7 linked regions of the Macaca mulatta genome follow. The protein of the gene in region 1 purifies or fractionates together with the protein of each later gene. This does not show direct contact. Links are inferred from orthologs where the notes say so. Each region holds a gene or a part of one and is shown on either strand. Other genes may lie near its edges. The genes, in order: SLX4, PGAM5, PLK1, RTEL1, SLX4IP, TOPBP1 and KPNA1.

Region 1 (3,500 bases):
CAGGTGATCTGCCCACCTTGACCTCCCCCAAAGTGCTGCGATTATAGGTGTGAGCTACTGCGCCTGGCCCATAAAAAGCTTTTTTAAATAGAAAAAGCCCTGAGTGCACACAGCAATATTTGGCTTGGTTTTCTTCCTTTTCGTTGACTCACCTGGACACTGGCAGGCTGCTGCTCCCCTCAGGCTGTGCTGTCTGCAGCCGGACGGCCTGCAGCAGGAGCTGGGGGCCAACCTCCATCTTCACAGCACACTGCTTCAAGTGGCTGGCTCTGTTCTTTAAGGTCAGAAATGGTTTCCCACAAATCGGGCACTCAGGGATCTGAGGCACGGAAGGTCTTAGTGCCTTTTCAGCTTCATCCAGGCACCTGAAGGAAGACAGTTAATACAGGAGAACCACCCTCCCCGGGAATGTGGATTGGAGCACATGTGGGTCTAGGTCATCATGGATGTGCTGTGGTCAAAGCAAGTTCCCCAAAGCTAATCCCTCCACACAGCCTGACTCCGTTTCCTGGCAGTCAGCCCCTAGTCACTACACTTAGGTATCTGTTAGCAAAGCTGGCTAAATAAAGCAAGGAAAGATTAAATGCAGTTACATGATAACTTAGAAATTCCACTCCTAAGTATAGACCCCCAAGAACTGAAAGCAGGTACCCAAACAAATACATGAAACCCATGTTCACGGCAGCTCTATCCACAATCCCAAAGGGTAGAAATGCTCCAAATGTCAGTCAATGGATGAAAGGATAAACCACGGTCATATTCCTCATCTAAGAATGGGAAAAAAACACAGTCTATCCATACAATGAGATACTACTCAGCCACAAAAAGGAATGAAGCCTGTCCCATGCTACAACATGGATGAACCTCAAAAACAACATATTCAGTCAAAGAAGGCAGACACAAAAGGACAACTGTGCAATTTCAGAATCGGCAAATCCATCCAGACAGAAAGTTGATTAGTGGTTGTCAGGGGAGAGAGGGGCAATAGGGAGTGGCTGCTAATGGGTGTGGAGATTCTTTTGGCGGTGATGAAAATAATCCAAAGTGATTGTGGTGACAGTTGCACAACTGTGTGAATAAATGGGTGAACTATATGTTCTGTGACTTATATCTCAACAAAGTTATTTTTTAAAAAGGGGTAGGTTGACAACAAAGCTGAGGTGCTATTTTCACAGTAAGGTGTGGAGATCCCCACTCCAGCCCTGGGGTGCCCGGGGATTCTGGTCACGTACACGGGAGAGGTGACGGCCCACGCTGCCCCCACCTGTTTACATGCTGTTCCCTTCGGGTCACGTTCATGGCTGAGAGGTTCTTTTGACAAATCTGGCAGAAGAACAACCCTTTTTCCTCCAGGCTATCATCATGTGCCGATGCTCCTACCCGTGCAAACTCCTGCTGCAGGGTCAAGGCCACCGCAGCGTCGCTCTCTGGGGCAGGGGGCCCAAGCCCAAACACTGTGGAGAAGCACCAAAGATCCGTGAGGATCAACTCCAAAGACAAGCTCACCCTCAGACCTCTGCTCTGTCGGCTCTTGCAGACCATGGGGAGCAGGGGGAGCACAAATAAACCAGAACCCAGCTCCACTCTGCAGACCGGTGACTCAGGCACTGTCCAGTGAGACTGGGCACTAGTCAGCACTTCTGCAACAGCCATCTCCAACTTTAACATGCATATGCATTGCCTGGGAAGCTTGTCGACACTCGGATTCAAGTTCAGGGGGTCCAGGTGCAGCCTGAGACTCTCCGCCTTCCTAGCAGCCCCCAGGCTTGGCGATGCTGGCACCGCAGGACCACTCTGAGTAGCAAGGACCTACACTTCCCCACTTCTGCTAAAGTCAGCTACCTTGGGCATTGCAGGTTCACAAGGCTCATATTCCAACAAAGCTAGATGTTCTCTTCGAAGCTCAACCTTTCCTGCTGACCTTTTACTGCCCGTGATAAAACCAGGGCAGAGTGAAATGCCCTTGGCGGTTAAAAAGCAGCATCTCTTACTTAGCATCAGACGCTAGAATGGACTGATTCTGGTCTTGAGATGGCTCCCAGGGTGGCCCATCTGGTATTGCTGGAGCAGACCCCTGTCACTCACAAGGGATACGCCCTGAACGCCTCATAAACCCCCAAGTTTTTGATGGCTGTGGCCTACCAGTGCCTGCCACTGAGGCCAGCAAAACAGCACACCTTCATTTTGGTGCCCTGTTTTGTTTGGTCGTCTTTTTTTTTTTTTCCTGAGACAGTCTCACACTCTGTCCCCAAGCTGGAGTGCATCGACGCGATCTCAGCTCACTGCAACCTCCGCTTCCCACGTCCCAGTGATTCTCCTGCCTCAGTCTCCTCAGTAGCTGGGATTACAGGTGCACACCACCACACCTGGCTAATTTTTAGTAGAGACGGGGTTTTACCATATTGGCCAGGGTGGTCCTGAATTCCTGACCTCAGGTGATTTGCCTGCCTTGGCCTCCCAAAGTGCTGGGATTACAGGTGTGAACCACCACATCCAGCCTGGTTTGGTTTCTTAACAAAGAAATGGTTTATCTCTTTCTGAGAGCTTGCTGGGTGTGATGTGAAGATACAGAAAGAACTGAGTCAAATGCTGGGCAGGGGCGGAGCTCACACCAGCTGGGTGCCTCCTCTACACCTCACATGTGCATCCAGGACTGATGCCTCGGCAGGACATCAAATCACTGCCTGCTGTGGACCCTGGGGCGGCCTGAGACTCCTCGGTGTTACTGAAGTGAAATCTGCAATGCAATGCCAAGAGCCTGCATACTTATTAGCTCTAGGTCCGCCAATAATAGTTTCTTCCTATTTCTTTTCCCTTTGTAAATTTTCATCAGAAATGAGAATCCATATTGTTTCAAGGATGGAGAACAGAAGCACCTGGCATTATTATGCTTATGGAGCTGGTGCTACACCAAGTGCACAGCAGCTATGGGGCACTGTCTCCACACGCTGTCACCTGGAGCCAATGAGCCTCTAATCCACTCAGAGTGGGGCAACCCGGGGCAACCCAAGGGTTAGAGGAAGGAGTTAAAGGATCCCATAAAGAAATAAACAAATCCAGAGAGTGGGAAATCTTATAATACAATTAGCCTAGCCTCTTCAAAAACTCAGTTTTTGTCATGGGGCTGGGTGCAGTGGTTCACACCTCTAATCCTAGCACTTTTGGAGGCTGAGGAGGGCAGATCGCCTGAGCTCAGGAGTTCAAGACCAGCCTGGGCAACATGGCGAAACCCCATTTCTACTAAAAATACAAAAAAATTAGCCGCGTGTGGTGGTGGGTGCCTGTAATCCCAGCTACTCAGGAGGCCGAGGCACGAGAATAGCTTGAACCTGGGAGGCCGAGGTTGCAGTGGGCCGAGATCGCGCCACTACACTCTAGCCAAGGCTCTGTCAAAAAAAAAAAAAAAAGTTGGCCGGGCGCGGTGGCTCAAGCCTGTAATCCCAGCACTTTGGGAGGCCGAGATGGGCGGATCACAAGGTCAGGAGATCGAGACCATCCTG
Region 2 (3,500 bases), on another chromosome or scaffold:
CACTGTCTCTGAGTAAACACCAGCAGGTTCCACTTCTGCTCTTCCCAGCTCTGCCGTGTTGAACTTTTTTTGTTGCTGTTCAGACAGGGTCTTGCTCTGTTGCCCGGGCTGGAGCGCAGTGCACTGCAGTGGCGAGATCATGGCTCCCTCCCAGGCTCAAGTGATCCTCCCACCTCAGCCTCCTGAGCAGCTGGGACTACAGCTGCGGACCGCTTTGCCCAGCTAACTTTTTAATTTAATATTTTTGTAGAGACGGGGCCCCCCTGTGTTGCCCAGGCTGGTCTTGAACTCCTGGGCTTCAGTGATCTGCCCACCCTGACCTCCCAAAATGCCGGGATCCGCTTTTTCAGATTCCAGCAGCTCCGGAACAGGACTTCATAATGGGAATGGTTTCTTCCTCACTGTCTGATGTGATAGTCACTATCCCATGTGGCTGCTGAGTGTTTGTTTATTTTCTGAGGTGGAGTCTCGCTATGTCGCCCAGGCTGGAATGCAGTGGTGCAATCTCAGCTCTTTGCACCCTCCGCCTCCCGGGTTCAAGCGATTCTCCTGCCTCAGCCTCCCGAGTAGCTGGGATTTCAGGTCTGTGCCACCAAGCCCGGCTGATTTTTTCCATTTTTAGTAGAGATGGGATTTCACCATGTTGGCCAGGCTAGTCTCGAACTCCTGACCTCAGTTGATCTGCCCGCCTCAGCCTCCCATATCCTGGGATTACAGGTGTAAGCCACTGCACCCGGTCCTGAGGGTCTAAAATGTGTTTAGTATGACTGAGGACATGATGTTTTAATTTTATTTAATTTTGCTTAAATTTTTAATTGAAACATCCTCATAGCTGGTGGCTGCTGTTGGGCATTGAAGTTCTAGGCTCTGTTGAAGCATCATGGTCAGGGAGGCTGTCCTGGTCCCGCGGACACTTTCCACCTGCCCACCCATAGCCGCTGTCCTCCTTCCTTTTCCATACCCACAGGTGCATTCTGGGTGGTCTGTCTCCTGCTGTTCACTGTCTGCCTCTCCTTATTAGAGAAGATGCACAGGGCTTTGCTTATCTGTTTTGCTTTCCAGCACATAATGCAGAACAGGCCTGGAACTAGCTTTGTGGGAGGGAGAGTAGCGGTATGCTCAGAGAGGCCTCCCCAGGGCTGTGTCGAGGTCCTTGTCTTCTCTCCATGCTCTTCCCAAATAGTTTGACAATCTGGAAATAACATCTTGTCAGAAAAACTCAAACTTGGGAACAGAGGTCACAAGGACCTATCTTGTATTTCAACATCAGGCGAGAACCGCTCTCTCTGATCAACCTGCGGAAGAGGAATGTGGAATCTGGGGAAGAAGAGCTGGCGTCCAAGCTGGACCACTACAAAGCCAAGGCCACACGGCACATCTTCCTCATCAGGCACTCCCAGTACCATGTGGATGGCTCCCTGGAGAAGGACCGCACTCTGACCCCGCTGGGTATGTGGCGAGTCAGACCCTCTGTGACTCCCTTGTGTGTGATGGGGTCAGACCCTCCGGGGACACCCTTGGGGAGGTGACGGGGTCAGACCCTCCAGGGACGCCCTTGGGGATGTGGCCAGGTGCATATCCTCTGCTGGTGCCTTGGTTACGTGATGCAGCTCCTCCGCAGACCCCCCCAGTCAGCTTTCTTGAAAGTGTTTGGGGCACTGGGTCTCCTGGGGCCCATGTCTGAGGCCATCACCCCTGAATCACACATTGACATTACCAGTAACTGTCCGCTGAACTTGGATAGAAGACAAGCTTTTAAAAATGTCTTTACCTTGGCCAGGCGCGGTGGCTCACACCTGTAATCCCAACACTTTGGGAGGCCAAGGCAGGCGGATCACCCGAGGTCAGGAGTTCGAGACCAGCCTGGCCAACACAGCGAAACCTCGTCTCTACTAAACGTACAAAAATTAGCCAGGTGCGGTGGCAGGCACCCGTAATCCCAGCTACTCAGGAGGCTGAGGCAAGAGAATTGCTTGACCCTGGCAGGTGGAGGTTGCAGTGAGCCAAGATTGCACCACTGCACTCTAGCCTAGGTGACAGAGCGAGACTCAGTCTCAAAAAAAAAAAGTCTTTACCTTTTAGCAAATGTTGGACCTATCTTGTTTGCATGAGACCAAATTTGGTACATATCCTAGCAGGGGTTTTGTGCCTGCTCGACGCCTTGGAAAGCCGCATAGCTTGTGCGCTCAGCTGCTCACCTGGACCTGCTGCCAAAGACCCTTCTCTTCTGCACTCACAGGCCTACTGCCTGGCGTCTGCTTTTTTTTTTTTTTTTTTTCCGGAGACAGAGTCCTGCTCAGTTGCCCAGGCTGGAGTGCAGATGTGATCATGGCCCACTGCATGGGTTCAAGCAATTCTGCCTCAGCCTCCCAAGTAGCTGGGATTACAGGTGCCCACCACCACAGGTGGCTTTTTTTTTTTTTTTTTTTTTTGGTATTTTTAGTAGAGACAGCGTTTCACCATATTGGCCAGGCTGGCCTCAAACTCCTGACCTCGTGATCCGCCCGCCTTGGCCTCCCAAAGTGCTGGGATGACAGGTGTGAGCCACCGCGCTCAGCCTGGCATCTGTCTCTCAATGCCCTGTTGAACAGGCAGGACTGAGCGACACGATCCTGCCTGTCCCCACTGGCAGACGCTGCATAGACAGCGCCCAGGAGGGTCCTTCCACCCTGTCCTTGTGTTCCTGTGCAGGTGGATCTGTAGGAGAGATGCCTAGAGAAGGAAATGTGGGGTAGGCTAAGGTAGAGTTTACACTTTGAAAAGTTCTTTAAATGGGATAGTGTCTGTTCATGCACATATTAAAAGTTCAAATGGTAAAAATGTGCAGGGCTGTCCTCCACAGATGCCTCCCTCAGCCCCCAGAACTGTCCCGGCTGCTTGTATACAAAGAAAGTGGAGTGACAGACGCAGCTGTGGCTGCATCCAGTGGACTCGGCCTTCCCGAGGGCCTTTCCACCTGGATGCCAAAGCTCACAAGAGAAAAGGTGTCTGCACTGGTGTCCGGCCCCATGTAGCAGCTCGGGGTGTTTAGGTCCTGCTGTGTTGGCCTCCGTCATGGCGTGTGCCTGGTGGACCCTGAGGCTCAGGTTTTGGGCATAGTTAAGTGACGGTGACGAGGGGACTCAAACCACCAGCCACTGTCCGATTTCCTGCAGTTGATGGAATCGGATGCTTTTCTTTTTCCTGTATGGGGGTGAAGACAGTTGAGTGCCAGCCCCTCAGGCCCAAGCCTAGGGAGAGCAGGAGCCACGGGATGCACTTGCTGCCTGACGCGGGCTCGTGCTTGTGGGTGGAGGAGGGCGCGTTTGCGGGCGGCGGAGGGGGTGCGGGTGCGGCACTGAGGTGTTTCACCCTCCAGGTCGGGAGCAGGCTGAACTCACGGGGCTCCGCCTCGCAAGCTTGGGGTTGAAGTTTAATAAAATCGTCCATTCCTCCATGACGCGCGCCATAGAGACCACTGATATCATCAGCCGGCACCTGCCAGGTAAGTGCGGGGTGCG
Region 3 (3,949 bases), about 18 Mb from region 1:
ATACACCAGTGACAGGGAAAGATATGGCAGTTAGGCTTTGTTTGGGGGTAACCTGTCCCCTGCAGTAGGTTTGCTGTAAAGCAGGCCGAAAGGTCCACAGAAAAGGTCAGCCAGGTAGGATGTCCCAAAGTTGCCCCTGCTGAGACCAGGTAGATCCAGAGATAACTCCCAACTTACATGATACACCCAATAGACCACACATCCACCTCGAAACTGTGCCCTTTCTTGCTCAGCACCTCAGGAGCTATGTAATTAGGAGTCCCGCACAGGGTCTTCTTCCTCTCCCCGTCATATTCGACTTTGGTTGCCAGTCCAAAATCCCCTGGGACAGAGGGAGGAAGAGCGGGTACTTAGATGCCAGCCTCTGCCATCTGTCAATGCAGAAGGCTAGTTAAGGTTTGACCATCAAGAACCAGGGCCATTTGATCCCACAAGCTTCTGCTCCTTGTACGCAGCAAGGCTTGCCCAGGAATCTTCCCGCCATGCTGACACCAGGGAGGTGCCTCCAGTGACCCTTCTCACCCCTCCCCTTAGAAAGGGGCTATACTTCGAAACGGGAACTGGCAGGGATAGCAAAACTCCAGTGCCTTCAAGGATCAAGCAAGTTAACCTCCAAGACTTGGCAAGTCTGTGAAGAAGTAATAGGGAGGAGTAGAGACTGTGGCAAACAAGTCTGAAGGGGACAGCTGCTTTCCAGCCCAGCAAAGGACTGCCCTAAGAAAATGCTGTCCTCGTATTACTGGAGCTTTCATGACTGTTTAAAAGGAGCTCTAAATCAAAATTTTTATGTCAAACCTTCCAATTTAAAAAATAAAAACAAATTCAAATTCTTTGTAAAAAAAGAAAAATGCTGTATTGGGGCACAAAAAATAATGCATCTGTAGGCAAGATACTGACTTGTGGGTTCTTTGTTTGAAATTTCTGGACTAAAGAGAGAATTCTAGAGGCAATCAACAGCCCAAACTTCCCACCATCCTCTTCCTTCCTCCTGGTCTCCTTCCTTTCTCCCAGCCTCCTCCAAATTCCAGCCTCTTGGAGTGATGTCAAGCACCCCTGCAGGCTCAGCAACTCACCTATTTTCACCTCCAGATCTTCATTCAGGAAAAGGTTGCCCAGCTTGAGGTCTCGGTGAATAACTCGGTTTCGGTGCAGGTACTGACAGCCAAGCACAATTTGCCTTAGGTAGTATCGGGCCTCAGGCTCAGTCAGGGCTTTCCTCCTCTTGTGCAGCTCCAGGAGAGACTGTGGATGGGAAGGAGAGGGCAGGAGGGATGGGGAGGTGGTATTGAGGCCGGTGGGGAAGGGAGAGGGTTACCAGGCAAAGGAAGCACAGGACTGGACTCTGGACTCCCAAAGGATGAAAGAGGGGTCTTGGTGGGTTTCTCTCCTTCCCTATGCCCCCACCCCATTCCTTTTCCAGGACAACTGGCATCTGGACCCTGCCTTAACACTGTCCACAACCATTCACAGCACCCCTTCTCCTACTAGCTTTCTCCCTTACCTGGGGGTCCTCTCTCAGCCCCACTCCGGAAGTCCCCAGCAGCAGATCCCTTTCCTGACTCTTATCTCCCTCGGAAGGCCCGAAGTCTAGCTCCAACTACCCCCTCACTGACCCAGCTACACTCCGGAAGCTCCCAGTGCCCGGCATCACTAACCCGGGACTCCTCCCTGGCCACTCCAGGGCCCTAGCGTCCATTACCAGCACCCCTCCCCCCAAGTACCTCGCGTCCAGAAGCTGACCTCCCTATCAGCAACATGACTCAGACTCCACTTCACCGGAACCCCGTCCTCCAGCAGCTCCAAGAGCCAAGAAGCCCTTACCAAAGGCACTTTCCATACCTAAGAGGGAGGCTCCCAGCACCCTTCTCTAGCAGCTCCAAGTCCCAGGTACTCCCTTCCTGGGCACTCTTTCCAGCAGCTCCAGGTCTGGGCGCTCCAACTGCCCCGCAGGCAGTTCCAGTTAACCAGCAGCGACACTCACCCTCCGGCGGCAGAGCTCCAACACCACGAACACGAAGTCGTTGTCCTCGAAAAAGCCGTGGAATCCTACGACGTGCTGGTGGGCGAGGCTGCGGTGAATGGATATTTCCATGGACATCTTCTCCCTCTGGTGCGGCTTAAGCAGCAGAGACTTAGGCACAATCTTGCCCGCGAACACCTCCTTGGTGTCCGCGTCCGAGATCTCGAAGCACTTGGCAAAGCCACCCTTGCCCAAAAAGCGGCCCCGCACATAGCGCCGCCGGCTGCGTGGGTCCACTAGGACCTCCGGGATCTCTTTCGCCGGTGGAGCCGCCGCCGGAGCTCCAGGAGCTGCAACTCCGGGGACCCCGGCTTTCCCAGGGTCGGCCGGTGCCCGTGCCAGCTTCCCTGCAGTCACCGCCGCACTCATGCTCCTGGAGCTGCTCTGCTGACCTGGATCCGAGCAGACGCTCCGCACCGCTCAGCTCCTCCCCGAATTCAAACGCGGCGCTGGGAACGTTACAAAAGCCTGCGCGCCACTGATTGGCCGCGGGGATTTAAAATCCAAACCCGCCCGCCGCGCGGCACCATGGGAGCGCCCTGCGCAGCAGCTGCCTTTAAACCCGGACCCAGCCGGGGAAAAACTTGATTGACAGGGACGCCCGAACACGTGGGATAGCCTGGGAAACCAAATCCGGCGTGGATGCGGAGACCCAGCCCCGAGAGGGGAGGAATTCCTTCGGGGTTTCTCCCTTTCTCGGGCGTCCGGGAAAGCTCCTGCAGTTCGCTTGCGCCTCCTCCAGGAAGCTTTTCCTTAAATCTTCCTCCACCTCCACCCCACCTAGAATATAAGCAATCTAAGAGTAGGGAACTGGCATGCCAGCAGGTCGTTTAAGAAAGCCTTAGCATCCGCCTCCCGATGCCGTCAGCTCTCAGCCAAGCCACCCGAACTGAACTAAAATCTAAGTAAAAGTGTGCTTGCCAAACATACCTTCATGGCTAGTCTGCTCCTTCAAATAACTGCCGCTTCTGAGCTCCTCCGGATTACAAAGCAACGCTGCTTAAAGAAGGGGCCATGGAACAGCAGCATCGCCATCACCTGAGAGCTTGTTAGAACCGCAAAGGCAAACATTCAGGCCCTACTCCAGACCTCCCGAGTCAGTGTCCGCCTCTCAACAAGACTGCTCAGGTGATTCCTACACATCCTGAAGTTGGAGAAGCACAGTACCAGAGTCCTCCATGATGCAAGGAAGCTGTCTGGCCTGCTCGCTACTGAATTTCCCAGGGCCTAAAATAGTGGACACTCAGTTTCTTGGTCAGAGGGACGGAAGGTTGGAAGAATGCCTAGCAAACTGGCAGGTCATAGCCAAATGTGTCTTGCAGGGTTTTGTTTGGCCTCCCACGTGTGTGTGTGTGTGTGTGTGTGTTTTGTTTGGCCTCCCACGTGTGTGTGTGTGTGTGTGTGTGTGTGTGTGTGTGTCGGAGTCTTGCTCTGACACTGCAACCTCTGCTTCCTGCGTTCAAGCAGTCCTCCCGCCTCAGCCTCTCAAGTAGCTGGAATTACAAGCGTGCACCACCGTGTGTGTGTGTCGGAGTCTTGCTCTGACACTGCAACCTCTGCTTCCTGCGTTCAAGCAGTCCTCCCGCCTCAGCCTCTCAAGTAGCTGGAATTACAAGCGTGCACCACCATGCCCGGCTAATTTTTGTAATTTTAGTAGAGAAGAGGTTTCACCATGTTGGCCAGGCGGGTCTTGAACTCCTGACCTCAAGTGATCTGCCCACCTCGGCCTCCCAAAGTGCTGGGATTACAGGCATAAGCAGCCATGCCCGGCCATTGTAAAACATTTACAGCATTTAAAAGAGGAGGTCATAAAAATTTGGATTTGTGGCCTTTCCTGAAAAAAATCAGCTCTAGCTACTTAACTCTGTGCCTACATGCTTTCAGTTTGCCACAGTTCCCATTTACACCCCTTTGTTCTTTTTTTTTTTT
Region 4 (3,500 bases), on another chromosome or scaffold:
GCCAGAACTCCAGGCTCTTCTCCATGACAGGATAGGAAGGGAAGAAGATCAGCAGCCCGTAGGGCACCACGCGGGCGATGTTGCCTGGAAGTGCAGGGGCTGGGGTCAGGGCAGGGGCGGGGCGTCTTCCGGGGTCCCTACCAGCTCTTGGGAGCAGGGTCCAGGATCCAGGATGGGCACAGCTGGGGTGTGCCGGGCACTTACCCAGAGCCTTCCCCAGGGAGGACAAGCACTCCTCAGAAAACCTGCACAGAGCCGAGAGGCCACTGCTCAGGGCCTCAGGGCTCAGTACTCCCCGACCTCGCACCCCAGCACGGCCCAGGGACAGGCCCTCACCGTCTGTCAAACGCAGAGCTCAGCTGGGCTCCATCGGGACCTCTGGGGACGACCCCCACCCAGATCTGGTGCTTGTCGATGATGTGTGGGTTCTCCAGGCAGACCGGGAAAGGGCTGAGCATGGCCGGAGGGACAGACAGTGGGGAAGGACACCAGCACCCCTTTAGCCCTCAAGGCCCGAGACCCCCAGTGAGGCCCAAGACCCCCAGCACCCCGGCTCATGGGGACCCCCAGCACTCCCACCCCACTAACGTCACAGGCGTCACCAGTGCTTAGGCCCCTGGCAGGGGTGGCCCGTACATCTGCATCTCCAGGGCAAAGGAGGACACCGGGGCCAGCGTGCCGCTGGTAAGGATGAGGGAGCGGACGCCCTGGCGGACCAGCTCGCGCATGCTGTGGCCGGGACTGAAGCACCAGTAGCTCAACACCTTCCCTGTGGGGCGGAGGGGAGCAGGGGACACAGGGTGTGAGGACGGGACTGGGGGCCTGACCGCCTGCCTCTCTGCCCATCACCCTCTCACCCACTGGCATCAAGCAAGTGAGCCGCCCACAGCCACCCAGGCCCAGCGTGCAGAATTCAGAACAAAGGAGGCTGCCCTGAGTGTGAGCGCAGTCTGCCAGCTGGGGTCCCCTCTGGGGGACTGGGGGTCCCGGGAGTACGAGGCAGACCCCAGGCAGATGCTGGGGACACCTCCAGAGAGGTCAGCCCACTCCAACCCTAAACTTCTGCAGAAACGGTGACATGCAGCTCAGGGCAAGCTCATCCCGCCAAGAGCGCACGGGAAGCAAGCGCCAGCGTCCCGACATTCCAGGGACGCGCACAAGAGGAAGTGCGAGTTCCCCGCTCCGCCAGGAAGCCTCCGAGTGGCGTCAGCAGCGAACAAGGGCACCGGTTCAAAGGAAGTTCCTAGAAGTGCTTGACTGACTGACCGCAGCGGCCGCGGCCTGGGGAGGAGACTGAGCCTGGGCACCGGACACCAGGAATTAAACACGGCACAAGCAGAACGACGCTGACTGTGACTCGGGGTCAGCAGGGACAAGGCACCTCTCCCAGCAAAGGTCACTCCGCTTCCTGGGGCTGAGCGTGCCCTGCAGCGGGGGAACTTCCCGACCTCCACCTCCAGGAGCTCATTTCCTACAAACGCCCAACGCAGGGAGCGGCTGCTTCTCAGAAGTCAAGTGACGTCACAGGTCAATGGAACAAATAGATTCCAGGCCCTCAGGATCTGTGCGCCAGCTGCCTCAGGCACGCGCCGCCTCCCACGACCCCCCAGGATGGACGCTTCCTGCCGGGAGACGCCTTGCCACGAGGCCATCACCGAGTCACCGACCGGGGGTCAAGCCACGCAACCCTGACGCCCTCCCGGCCCTCCCCTTCCGGCTCGGCCAGGCAGACCAACCACAGCAACCACGCGGGGGCTGCTTCAGCCAGGGCCACGTCGTGCCACCGCGGGCCAGAGAGCTCTGAGAAAGAACGTTCCAGAGAGGAACGAACCAAGCCCAGAGGCAAGGCCCCACTGGAGCACGAGAAGGGGCAGCAGCTCCCACCGCTGCCGCCACAAAGCCCCCCTTGGACACCACATGGCCGGGTGGGGCCGGACACACTCCAAGAACCACAGGACTCTGGACACGGAGCCGAGGGCCCACTCACGGGCCCCATCCACACAGGTACCCGGCAGCACCGACTCGAAGACGCCACAGAGCACAGGAAGCCAACAAGGCACGTGGGGCCTCAGGGCCGAGCGCACCAGAGGCTTCGGACAACAGGGCCAGTCGGGCCCCCTTCAGATGAGACCCTGAGGCTTGGCCCAGCCAGGCGCTGGGTGGAGGCAGCAGGGAAAGCTGTGCCTCACTGTGGGGCTCCGTGCTGACGGCCTTGGCATAAACCAGTGTGTCCCAGCAGGAAGGCCTGGCTGAGCTGTGGCTCTGCCGCCACCAACCAGGTGACTCTGGGCAGGTCACGGTGCCATCAGGCCCTCTCCCATGTCTCTCAGTAACTCCAGCCTTCAGAGGGACAGTGAGGAGAATGCTCTGGATTGGCCTGGACATGGAGAAGGTGGCCAGGCCCAGGGGGGCAGGAGACCCACGGCTGGCCACGTGCCTAGCCTGTGGCATGCTGGTGCTGAGCACCACACCCGGGCGGGCGGGGAGAGTGTGGGCCCAGGTCTGTACCTCGCTTTCTGGCTGCAGTGGTGCTCCAGGCATCAGACCGCTGAGCCGTCCTCCGGTGACCAGCATCAGGATGGACGTGCACCTGGAGGGGACAGGACCAGAAGTGTGGAGACCCCACCCATGTCCTGGGGGCAGCCCCTTACCTTTCAGGACTGCAGGACCCCCAGCCCCACCTGCCTCCTGGAGGTGGCCCCTACCTTATAGGACTGTAAGGGTCCCAGCCCTGCCGGGGAACCACGGCTGCCCTCGGAGGGGTCCACACTAAACACAATCTGAAAGAGAGGAGGTGCAGTCCCGTGAGGAGCCTGAGGCCAGAGCCCAGAGCCCTGGAGGCCACCTGATCTTCTGCGGCATCAGCCCCACACACGGAAGGTCACAGGACACCCAGAGGTCATCGGTTCACCAGCCCCTGCCATCATGCAGCCCCAGGCTGATGGACAGGAGCTGGCACCTGCCTGACCCTTTCTCCTCCCTGGAGGGACCCCCGGTGAGCTCTGTTCCCCCTACGCAGGCCATCTCCGTGCACTGGAAACGCGGCAGCCCGAGAGGCCTCTCCTCCCACCAGCTGGCCCAGCCCTCCTCTCTGTGCCCCTAAGGGTCCCAAATTAATCTAGAAATTCAACATGGCCTAGTGCAGTGGCTCACGCCTGTAATCCCAGCACTCTGAGAGGCCGAGAGGGGCGAACTGCCCGAACCCAGGAGTTCGAGACCAGCCTGGGCAACATGGTGCAACCCCGGGGTCTCCACCAAAAAAATATGAAAACTAGCCGGGCGTGGTGGCACGTGCCGTGGTCCCAGCTACTTGGGAGGCTGGGCTGAGAGGATCCCCTGAGGCCAGGAGGTTGAAGCTGCAGTGAGCTGTGATGGTCCCACTGCACTCCAGACTGGGCAACAGAGAGACACTGACTCAAAAACACAGGAATTCCACACATTCCAGTCAAAATCACAGCAAGATTTTTAAAGGAAGCAGACAGGTTGACTCCAACATGCAT
Region 5 (3,500 bases), on another chromosome or scaffold:
TATTCATTTCCGATGTTAAGGGTCAGTACTGCTTATATGCTGACTTTTTTTTTTTTTTTTTTCCAGGAGTAGACTCAGGTTCTGTGAACACAAATGTACACATACACACAATTTCTACTTGTGAGTAAAGAATAATCTCCTGGAATTTCTCTCAGGCTATTTCAAGGTATTACCCAAATACAACCACCACTTAGCTGGTGTCATGTTTGTTGATCAAACTTGATCAACAAATGGGAGTAGGACTTAGTTAATATAATTTGAAATGTCCTGGAAGAAATTCCAGATAGCCAGCATGAAAGGCAATAAAATGCAATCGTGGAAGACAAAAGAGTGTCGATATAGCTGTATATAAGCCCCTTGCTTCTAACGGCATGCACAACAGACAATGTAACTTCACTCTGATGATAAAATGAACTTTGAGGGGCGGGATAGAAGTTGCACAGGGAGAATTAGAGACTACAGATCTTAACTTCAGCATATATTTACAGGTCTGTGAATGGCAAGAAATTTCCTCAACCACCAAAACATTGAAAGCTGAAATATTTATTTTGGCTAGCTTCAGTGTGAAAACAAATACATATAATACTCATGTTCTTACTGTTGACACCAGGAGTATGAGGATTATTGTAATTATATTAAAGTCGGAACAAGGATCTTAGGAAAGGAATGTATTTTTTAGATCTGTCTGTAGTCCCTCTGAAAGTGGTATGAAACACACCACCAACAGGTGCTTTTCATCTTCAAAGAACGTGTCATTAATTACTCCTTGCAACACACCTGTGAAGCAAGGACTCTATCCCTATTGTCCAGAAAGCAAGAGAGTCAGGAGGGAGGGGAGAGCAAGTACATGATGGAGGGGAGTTTGTGCTTCAGTTCCAGGCACTCTGTTTAATTCTGGACTTCATGTTATCTATCCATACATAGAGGCAGTCACAAATGAGAAAAAGGAAACACATTGCACCTACATTTCTTTCAGAGCATTTCTCCGGAGCTTTGCACTGGGAGGAAGTGAACTCTCTGCACACTCAGCAAAGTAATCAGACACTCCATGGAGAACTCTTTCTGTCTACTCCAAAAGATAACAAAGGTTCAACCAGAAATCTATTAGCTGAACATGAGAGAAAACAGTTACACTCTGAATGCCCAATGAACACATTTATTTTTGTAAAGACTGAATGAAACTGCTCAGTGGTAAGCTATTTTAACCTTTTTTACCTAGAACTTTATGGTTAATTGTAACTTCTTTTGGACTCCCAGTCTACATTTCAAACATTAATATGTGCCATAAACATACAAAACTGTAAGGCAAAGAATGCTGATTCCAAACCATCTGGGAAGTCTTGGCCAATATCTGGTAACTGTGAGGCCCAGGCTGTGACAAAAGCCCCAGAATCCTACTGTGTGGGGCAGCGTGCCTGTGAGCTCCGTTCTTCCAGCAAGACCTGGTGACACAGTGGTCTACACCCTTACCATCCTAAGAATTCCCCATATTTTCTCTATCTGCAAAAATAAAGAATATTTTGTGGCCGGGCGCGGTGGCTCACGCCTGTTATCCCAGCACTTTGGGAGGCTGAGGTGGGCGGATCACGAGGTCAGGAGATCGAGACCATCCTGGCTAACATGGTGAAACCCCGTCTCTACTAAAAATACAAAAAAAAAAAATTATCCAGGCGTGATGGTGGGCACCTGTACTCCCAGCTACTCAGGAGGCTGAGGCAGGAGAATGGCATGAACCCAGGAGGCGGAGCTTGCAGTGAGCTGAGATGGCGCCACTGAACTCCAGCCTGGGTGACAGGGTGAGACTCCGTCTAAAAAAAAAAAAAAAAAAAAAAGTTGTAACACCCAAGACCGTAGCAATAGTCAAATATTTTAATATTGGTATTTTGAAAACTGGAGTTTGTGATTCTTGGCTACTAAAAAATTCGGGACTTTTTTCCTTATACTAACCACCACTCTGGTTTTATATAATTCATAGATTATCTGCCTATCTAGCCTTTTGTGTTCCCATGGAAGCATCATAAGGAAGTAATTATAAAATGTAAAAGCCTACCTACCTTGCCAACATTAACCCATTTCATAGTTTTGGAATCTCTTCTCCTTTTGGTTATCGAGTACATAATCCAGACGAGTATTAACTCCTCTCATTTTCTGAGACACTAAGTATTCTTCCCCATCAAATTCCAATAAAATGTTGCTACCACCAGAAACAGCTTTAGTAAACTGTCATTAGGTCCTTGCTTTAGAACGACACTGGAATTAGCAGTGACAGCCCCAGAGCACCTGGTGGGTGGCAGCCATGAGTACCACGCCTGGTTACCCTACAGGCTGAGGGGATGTGCTTTGCCTAATCACTGCCCTGCACCACTGAGGATGGGCTCTCCATGCTCTTCAGTTGTGCCTATCCATCTCAGACCTGGGCCAGTGTCATTCAAAGTCATATCTGGTTATAACCCAAGTGAGTTTTAAGCTAGTGAACAGAATATTCTATGTTTTACTGGATTATACTCCCTTTTTTTTGGTTTGTTTTCTAAGACTTACTAGTTGGCCAAAATGAGTGACATCTTAAAATTCAAATGAGAGAGAGAGAGAGAGAGAGAGAGAGGAATCGAGATTTATGTGTGAAACACTTCTAAACATGCCCTATAAGTACAGTAGAATCTCCCCTTACAACCACACCCTGTAAAGTGCTGTATTTTCAGAGCTGAACAATTAACATAAGGAGCATGAGTCAGGCTTTGAACAACTCTGTGGGAACCAGAAAGCCTTTTGCTATTAGGAATGATGTAAATTCCCCAAGGCTGGAAGAAATCCACAATGCAAGGCAGACAGGGTCATAAATAACAACAATGAATACTGCATATGCCACATAAAGTATTATGCTGCGATAGTGACACTCTCTTCAAATCTCGTATTAAATTCAATCACTGCCTTTATTTATTTATTTTATAAATTCAGTTTAAAGAGCACTATGCATTTCCTTTGGGAACTTCAAAAACTCCTTTAAGAAGCAGAGCAGTCGGCTCTCATCCCAAATTCCTCTGACAACAATGAGGGAAAATGTCCTTGGAAGAAACGGGACAACAGAAAAGGTGACAGAGTGACAGGAGGAAATGTCCTGTTCAAAAAGTGTAAAATCTGTGACTTAGTTTTCATTTAAAAAAAAAAAAAAAAAAAAGAAAGAAAGAAAAAAGAGAAGAAAAGAAAAGAAAAAGAGAAAGGCAAGGCGGGGTCTCCTGCTTACAAATTAAAACCACATTTGGCAATTTGTTGAAGGAGGCATATTTACATTTGTATGAAGACTGGGTGGGCAGGAAAAAAAAGATTAGACTCCCTCTTCAGCCCCTGAGCTGTCAGGTCTCATTAGAAATCTCTTACTCTAACATTTCTAGGGTCAATTCACTCCCCTTTGTCTCTAAATCAAAGCCTCCAGTGCCACTCTCCCCTGCCCCCAAACAAGTATTCCTTAGGAAGCAGCTATCACCTGGGAACAGGATTTCCTA
Region 6 (3,500 bases), on another chromosome or scaffold:
CAACAACATGCTCATCTGTTTATTTTTAAGAGGTCAACATGTACTTAATACAAACAAATGCAAAGATTTCTTTCTTGTTACCCTGTTTAGCAATTTCTGAATCACGCAAAGGCCTTTGAAAAGGAGAATCCTCCAAGTTTTGAATGTCAACCTGAAGCTCAGAGTATTGTGTGGGACAACTAGGCCACTGCAAATTGCTGGCAAGTCTTGCTCTCTCCTCCCTTGCTGTAGGGTCATCCCAAATGATCTGTTCATTTTGGGAAGGCTCTGTGTTGACATCAGGTACTGTTTGACGAGACTGCCTAAGGAATAAAAGTGACAGTTTTAAATAAACAGCAATAACAAATCCAAACTCATTAAATCCATAAGTTAGCCCATAAAAGTTGTGGCTTACCTTTATATGCCATCATCTAGCACACAGTAAGCATTAAAAATATTAAATAAATGACCCTAGGGACATTTTTTTTTTTAAAAAAAAAGGTTTAAGGTTTCTTCCAGAAAAGTATAAAACGCTAGGAACACATATTTTGACTCAATGTCTACAGAACTAAAACTTCGAAGGAGAAATTCAATACTGTCAAGAAATTTTTTAAAAATACAAAAGTAATTGGTACATTTAAAAATGTGATTTTCCTTAATTATACAATGTTTCAAACACTATGGTTACTTTACTTAACAGTAGTTGTATTTTTTAATTACTTGAAATTATAAGCACTATGATTACGAGGGAGGCTGGCAATAAAGGCTGCCTTATCAGAAGAGCCTTTTGGCTATTGGTAACCACTTTCCAGAGTCTATGGTAGAAAAGCAATATGCTGAATTACAGGGAAGTGCATTTTATGGTGCAATCGTAATGATTCTACGTGACAGTAAATAGAAGTCCTGTAATTTTCTTTATATTCACTCAATCATTCTTAGTAAAAATAATTTACCATAAAACTTATACTGTGGAGAAGCAAACAAAACAAAACAAAACAAAACAAAACAGGCCGGGTGCTGTGGCTCACGCCTGTAATCCCAGCACTTTGGGAGGCTGAGGCGGGCGGATCACGAGGTCAGGAGTTCGAGACCAGCCTGGCCAACATGGTGAAACCCCGTCTCTACTAAAACTACAAAAATTAGCCGGGCGTGGTGGCACATGCCTGTAATCCCAGCTACTCAGGAGGCTGAGGCAGGAGAACTGCTTGAACCAGGACCCGGGAGGCAGAGGTTGCTACGAGCCGAGATCACCCCACTGCACTCCAGCCTGGGCAACAAGAGTGAAACTCTGTCTCAAAAAAAAAAAAAACCACCAAAACCCATAAAACAGTTTACCAAAGGAACCCCCCGCCCCCTGCCAAAAAAAAAGACTTCCTTTGCTTCAAAAATAAAGAATATAGTCTTTTGTTCTCAGAGTATATTTATTTACTCTGATTTGGTACATGATTTAGGTTCTCTATAATGATAAAACTTGATCTGAAGCATATTAAAAAGCTACTTTACTCAGTACTGACATAATGAACTGCCTCATGTAATACACAGTTAGCATAAGATAAATGCTAGTTTATCTTATACTTAATTCAATTAGTCAATTGAAAATACAAGTTCCATAATTCTTATCACACAATTATAGATTTTTTCTTCTATCACGAAAAAGATGAAGTTATGCAACTGAGCTTAAGTCACATCACACTAAAAACTGTAATCACCTTTTCTAGAAGATAAATTTTACAAGCAAAATACAAAATGCATGCAAAATTCCAACAAAAATAACTTTAAAATTTTATATATTGCATTAGAAAAAGACTGAAAAAAAATATATGTACTTATTGTTTAATACAAATACTATTCAATATTAGTGTATTAGTAGACAGAGAGAACTGCCTACTGAATCCATTGAGGCAAATTAGATCTGAAAATCATTTCTTTCTCAACAGAGATAATAAAAAGTATCAATCATGCCTCACTGTGAAGCAGGTGCTGCTGTAAGACAAACCTCCATGTCTGCTGCCACCTCCGAGTAAGAAGTCTAGAACTGCTGGGAGCAAGGGACGGAAGGACAAGCTAGAACGAAAAATCTAGTCAGCAGAGAGCCAAAAGCAATAGATAATACTGGAATATAATATTTATTGTTTGGGCTAAATAAGGCCTAGGCGTATAACCCCTTCACTAGTCTTGATATTTTACATTTCTGCTTTTACTGCATATTGGGGAAAAAAACAAAACTAAACTAAATTAGGCCAAGCTCATGGAACTGAGTCAGCAGCAGGTGCATAAATCCTTTCTCTCAAGTCATCTAGTTTTTCTGCCATCAGTGACAGGTACACACCTCAGTGCCTCTAGGACTCTACTTCGTCCACTGCGAGCAGAGCGAGTGCTGTCAGGTGTTGAAGATGCACTGTTACAACCACTTCTTGAAAGGGAAGTCCTCTGCCCTTGGGGTTTCACTATTGATGTTGCAGACATTATCTCCTGTAACTGCTTCTGAAAGTTCTCTCTCATCTCTAAGGTCTGTGTCAGAACTTGAAACAAACACAAATACACCATTCAAGGTAAGTTTCTCTTTCTGACCATATCTTACATTAACTATTTTGTTTAGACCTGGTTGAACACAAACTTATTGACTTAACATTTACTGAATACTAACTACAGGCTATAGTAATGTACTAAGACTATGAATACTGTAGAACATAAAAAGCAGCCCTTACCACAAGCACTGTATATGAAGTAACTAGGAAGCCCTTCAAAGACTTTTTTTTTTTTTTTTTGGTGACAGTCTTGCACTGTCACCCAGGCTGGACAGTGGCGCGATCTCGGCTCGCTGCAACCTCCACCACCCAGGTTCATGCAATTCTCCCTGCCTCAGCCTCTTAAATAGCTGGGATTACAGGTGCCTGCCACCATGCCTGGCTAATTTTTCTATTTTTTAGTAGAGACGGGGTTTCACCACATGGGCTAGGCTGGTCTTGAACTCCAGAACTCAGGTGATCTGCCCACCTCAGCCTCCCAAAGTGCAGGATTACATCGTAAGCCACTGTGCCTGTCCCCCTTCAAAGACATTTCATCAAGACCTGTAGTGATTATCCCTCTGTAAAGCTCCCTGCCTGCTTCTAACTCTTATGGTATATACTACACTCTGAGATGCATTACAGTCATTTGTGCATGTGTCTGATTTTTCCCAAAGATTCTTTTAATTTTCTAGAGACAGGGTCTTGCTCTGTGGCCCAGGCTGGACTGCAGTGGTATGGTTATAGCTCATTATAACCTCTAACTCCTGGGCTCAAGTGATCCTCCAGCCTCAGCCTCCTGAGTAGCTGGCACTACAGTTGTACACCACCAAGCCTGGCTAATTTTTAAATTTTTTGTAGAGACAAGGTCTCACTATGTTGCCCAGGCTTGTCTGGAATTCCTAGCATCAAGCAATCCTCTTGCCTTGGCCTCCCAAAGATCTGAGATTACAGGTGTGAGCCACTGTGCCTAGACTCCCTAAAGGCTCTTGAAAACACAGACCACAAAATATA
Region 7 (3,500 bases), on another chromosome or scaffold:
CGTAGCTGGGACTACAGGCACCTGCCACCACGACTGGCTAATTTTTTGTATTTTTAGTAGAGACAAGGTTTCATCATGTTGACCAGGATGGTCTCGAACTCCTGACCTCAAGTGATCCACGGGCCTCAGCCTCCCAGAGTGCTGGGATTACAGGCAGGAGCCACTACACCCAGCCGAAAACAATATATGTTTTAAAGGGTGACTGAGAAAAAAACCTTACTTTTCAATAAAAATACTGAAAGAAAAGTTAGGTCCTATGAGGTTACCTGGATTTGTGCCCTATTTCCAGCTGTAATATTAGATATCGTCCAACATGCTTCCTTTTTGATAGATTCCTTTGGGCTACTCAGCAAATGCAATAAACTCTGCAGAGCTGAGCAATTCAGAATTACCTAAAAGAAAAAGTTTGAAAATTTTACTTATTGTATTGTTCTAAATATAAATGTTTAACTTAAAGAACAGATTTTATGAAAGACATAACATCTCCCCTTGAAATTTTATAAATAAGTAACTTTATACAGGTAAAAAAAAAAGTATTCACTGTTAATAAGAATTAGTTTCTAAGATTATCAATCCAGTTTCATTGTACACATTCACAACGGCTAAATTGTACTTAGTAACTGCAATAGCATTACTCATTCACCTTCCCATCCCAACAGCGTAAGTCTTCTGAATGGATAAATAAATATATCAAGTGGCCAGAAAAGTCAGGAGTCTCAGATTTGTAGGTCCTCTGATAACACACTACTTGGTAGTCAATGAATGAATACGTACTTAATGAGGTATATCAGGTGCTTCATAGGATACAAAGATAAAAAAGATATGACCTCAGCTATCAGTTTATAAAGGTGAAGGAGGTAACACAAATACACATGGAGAAGGAGACTTACTCTACTAGAAACAAAAATAAAAAAAGTGTGATTAAGATAGTATATGGCAGGTTTAAGAATTAATCACTAAACAAAGAGAACAGAGATCTATTCTAAAAACAAATGCAGCTATGTATAAAGTTTATAATAAAAATTAACCCTTTCTCCCAATGACTGGTGGCTTTGACAGAACTGGAATAAAAAGCTAAATAGATTAAAAACAATTTTTTCAAAATCAGTTCTTAACACTGATATGGTTTGGATCTGTGTCCCCACCCAAATCACATGTCAAATTGTAATCCCCAAGGTTGGAGTGGGGCCTAGTGGGAGGTGACTAGATCATGGGGTGGATCCTCCAAGAATGGTTAGCCATGGTTCTGTTCTAGTATGGAGCACCTTTCCCTACTCCTTGCTCCTGCTCAGGTCACGTAAGACATGCCTGCTTTCTCTTCACCTTCCGCCATGACTTTAGGTTTCCTGAGACCTCCCCAGAAGCAGAAGCTACTATACACATTATGTATGGCCTGCAGAAACATGAGCCAATTAAACCTCTTTTCTTTATAAACTACTCAGTCTTAGGTATTTCTTTTTCTTTTTTTTGAGACAGTTTCACTCTTGTTGGCCAGGCTGGAGTGCAATGGCATAATCTCTGCTCACCACAACCTCCGCCTCCTAGGTTCAAGTAATTGTCCTGCCTCAGCCTCCTAAGTAGCTGGAATTACAGGCACGCACCACCATGCCCAGCTAATTTTGTATTTTCAGTAGAGACGGGGTTTCTCCATGTTGGTAAGGCTGGTCTTGAACTCTTGACCTCATGTGATCCACCTACCTCGGCCTCCCAAAGTGCTGGGATTACAGGCGGGAGCCACTGCACTCGGCCAGGTATTTATAGCAGTGAAATAACAGACTAATAAAAACCCTAAGTTGCCAAAATAAACTTGCAGCTACTTAAGAGTAAATATTTTTAAAAGGAATCATAAAGCAGAATATTAGAAAATAGCTGATTTGGGGATGGTAAAAGACTGAGCATAAAAATAAATTATAGGAGAAAACAAAAATTTCATGAAACAAATGTTTTCTTGTCAAAAATCATAAAAGATTTTAAAAATGTACACCATCCAATGTGAAAAATATTTGCAACAAATGAGAGGGTTGCTATCTTCCTTGTGTAAACTGAAAAGAGAAACTAAAATTTTAATAGAAAATTATCTCATAAGTAATGAAAGAAATGCAAATTAAAATCAAGTCTTTTATGCCTATTAAATAGGCAACAGGATTTCATTAGCAAAAAGGAGAACTGACACTGCACATAAGAAATGAAAAAATGCAGAGACAAGCTATTACAAAGTATCATAAGAACAGACTACTGCGGCTATTTTCATTTTAAGAAACAGTATGGTTCTATCACTAAGGCTGGAGTGTGGTGGCATGATCATAGCTCATTGCAACCTCAAACTCCTGGGCGCAAGCAATCCTCCTACCTCAGTCTCCTGAGTAGAGTAGGTAGGACTACAGTTACATGCCATCATGCTCAGCTAATTAAAAAAAAATGTTTTTAGAGATGGGGTCTTGCTATATTGCACAGGCTGGTTTGGAACTCCTGGGCTCAGGCAATTCTCTCACCTCAGCCTCTCAAAATGCTAGGAATACAAGCATGAGCCAGCATACCTGGCCATGATGAGGCTAATTAAGAAAGAGTTCTATGCCCCAAAAATAATAGGCTAGAAAGAAGAATGAGACTAAAATCTTACGGAGAAATTCCTTTGAATCTTTTCAAGGTTCTTTATCTTACAGGCACTAAAGCAGCTTATTGTTTCTAAAAGAAGATAATGTAAATAACATTATTTCAGGAGAGATTCAGTTGTTATTAGGGGGAATAAACTGAGATGAGTAACTGCTTAGGAGAGTAGGAGGATGGGTGGGTACAGCAACAACCTGTGTGTGTGACAAGGACCAAAAGAACGTAATTTGATGGGGATCTAGTAACAATAAGAATCAAGAAGACCTGGCAACTTGCTATACAAAGTAGAAGGGAAGAAGACACCACATGTGACTGCCAAGTTTCATGTGTAGGTAAATAGAATAGTTATATCATTACTTGAAATAGGAAAAATAAAAACTTGGAACTTGCTTTGTGGGGGAAAGAAGACATACTGCGAGACGTATGTGAGATATGCAAAGCAAGCAGAAATATGTAAGAGACTACTGCAGATATAGGACTGAAACGTGAGATAGATCGGAACTAGACGTATAGATTCAGAACTTCGTTCCATTCAATAAATATTCTTTAGGTCCCTATATATTGTGCCAGAAATTATTAGATTTACAGAGGCACAGAAATAAACACTGACATAATCTACCTCTAGAATCTTAAAATCTAGTAATTAGTTACAATACAATGTGATTAGTATTCTGATGGATGAAGAAAAAAGAATAAGTACCTAACTTAAAAGTTTAGGGTCAAACAAGCATTCTCAGAGAAAATAATGATAATACCAAGAATTCAAGAACAAGAAAACATTAGGAGTAGAGAATATGGATATGTGTGAGGTGGCAGTCAGAGCAAGGGGTAGCAGTGAAGGCATATGTTCCAGGCAGAGGGAATAAACCATGTGTTAAAGCTCAGAGCTG

Evidence for each region.
Region 2: the proteins of SLX4 (region 1) and PGAM5 purify together in Homo sapiens (affinity purification with mass spectrometry; 4 studies listed by BioGRID and IntAct, with this or other methods). This does not show direct contact. The link is inferred for Macaca mulatta from reciprocal best matches to the Homo sapiens genes SLX4 and PGAM5.
Region 3: the proteins of SLX4 (region 1) and PLK1 purify together in Homo sapiens (affinity purification with mass spectrometry; 9 studies listed by BioGRID and IntAct, with this or other methods). This does not show direct contact. The link is inferred for Macaca mulatta from reciprocal best matches to the Homo sapiens genes SLX4 and PLK1.
Region 4: the proteins of SLX4 (region 1) and RTEL1 purify together in Homo sapiens (affinity purification with mass spectrometry; 3 studies listed by BioGRID, with this or other methods). This does not show direct contact. The link is inferred for Macaca mulatta from reciprocal best matches to the Homo sapiens genes SLX4 and RTEL1.
Region 5: the proteins of SLX4 (region 1) and SLX4IP purify together in Homo sapiens (affinity purification with mass spectrometry; 6 studies listed by BioGRID and IntAct, with this or other methods). This does not show direct contact. The link is inferred for Macaca mulatta from reciprocal best matches to the Homo sapiens genes SLX4 and SLX4IP.
Region 6: the proteins of SLX4 (region 1) and TOPBP1 purify together in Homo sapiens (affinity purification with mass spectrometry; 3 studies listed by BioGRID, with this or other methods). This does not show direct contact. The link is inferred for Macaca mulatta from reciprocal best matches to the Homo sapiens genes SLX4 and TOPBP1.
Region 7: the proteins of SLX4 (region 1) and KPNA1 purify together in Homo sapiens (co-immunoprecipitation; 3 studies listed by BioGRID and IntAct, with this or other methods). This does not show direct contact. The link is inferred for Macaca mulatta from reciprocal best matches to the Homo sapiens genes SLX4 and KPNA1.

The regions. Positions count from the first base shown.
Region 1 is NC_133425.1:4,823,916-4,827,415, forward strand, and holds part of SLX4 (structure-specific endonuclease subunit SLX4), read right to left. Parts: intron 1,455-3,500; coding exon 1,265-1,454; intron 366-1,264; coding exon 153-365; intron 1-152. UniProt on the Homo sapiens protein: Regulatory subunit that interacts with and increases the activity of different structure-specific endonucleases.
Region 2 is NC_133416.1:140,086,406-140,089,905, forward strand, and holds part of PGAM5 (serine/threonine-protein phosphatase PGAM5, mitochondrial), read left to right. Parts: intron 1-1,270; coding exon 1,271-1,449; intron 1,450-3,358; coding exon 3,359-3,484; intron 3,485-3,500. UniProt on the Homo sapiens protein: Mitochondrial serine/threonine phosphatase that dephosphorylates various substrates and thus plays a role in different biological processes including cellular senescence or mitophagy. Modulates cellular senescence by regulating mitochondrial dynamics.
Region 3 is NC_133425.1:23,221,136-23,225,084, reverse strand, and holds the start of PLK1 (serine/threonine-protein kinase PLK1), read right to left. Parts: upstream 2,801-3,949; 5' UTR 2,390-2,800; coding exon 1,982-2,389; intron 1,243-1,981; coding exon 1,074-1,242; intron 323-1,073; coding exon 178-322; intron 1-177. UniProt on the Homo sapiens protein: Serine/threonine-protein kinase that performs several important functions throughout M phase of the cell cycle, including the regulation of centrosome maturation and spindle assembly, the removal of cohesins from chromosome arms, the inactivation of anaphase-promoting complex/cyclosome (APC/C) inhibitors, and the regulation of mitotic exit and cytokinesis.
Region 4 is NC_133415.1:116,545,797-116,549,296, reverse strand, and holds part of RTEL1 (regulator of telomere elongation helicase 1), read right to left. Parts: intron 2,781-3,500; coding exon 2,706-2,780; intron 2,591-2,705; coding exon 2,509-2,590; intron 770-2,508; coding exon 637-769; intron 451-636; coding exon 337-450; intron 246-336; coding exon 205-245; intron 85-204; coding exon 1-84. UniProt on the Homo sapiens protein: A probable ATP-dependent DNA helicase implicated in telomere-length regulation, DNA repair and the maintenance of genomic stability. Acts as an anti-recombinase to counteract toxic recombination and limit crossover during meiosis.
Region 5 is NC_133415.1:73,400,844-73,404,343, forward strand, and holds part of SLX4IP (protein SLX4IP), read right to left. Parts: intron 1,067-3,500; coding exon 966-1,066; intron 1-965.
Region 6 is NC_133407.1:36,675,406-36,678,905, forward strand, and holds part of TOPBP1 (DNA topoisomerase 2-binding protein 1), read right to left. Parts: intron 2,502-3,500; coding exon 2,309-2,501; intron 303-2,308; coding exon 82-302; intron 1-81. UniProt on the Homo sapiens protein: Scaffold protein that acts as a key protein-protein adapter in DNA replication and DNA repair. Composed of multiple BRCT domains, which specifically recognize and bind phosphorylated proteins, bringing proteins together into functional combinations.
Region 7 is NC_133407.1:161,329,039-161,332,538, reverse strand, and holds part of KPNA1 (importin subunit alpha-5), read right to left. Parts: intron 393-3,500; coding exon 267-392; intron 1-266. UniProt on the Homo sapiens protein: Functions in nuclear protein import as an adapter protein for nuclear receptor KPNB1. Binds specifically and directly to substrates containing either a simple or bipartite NLS motif.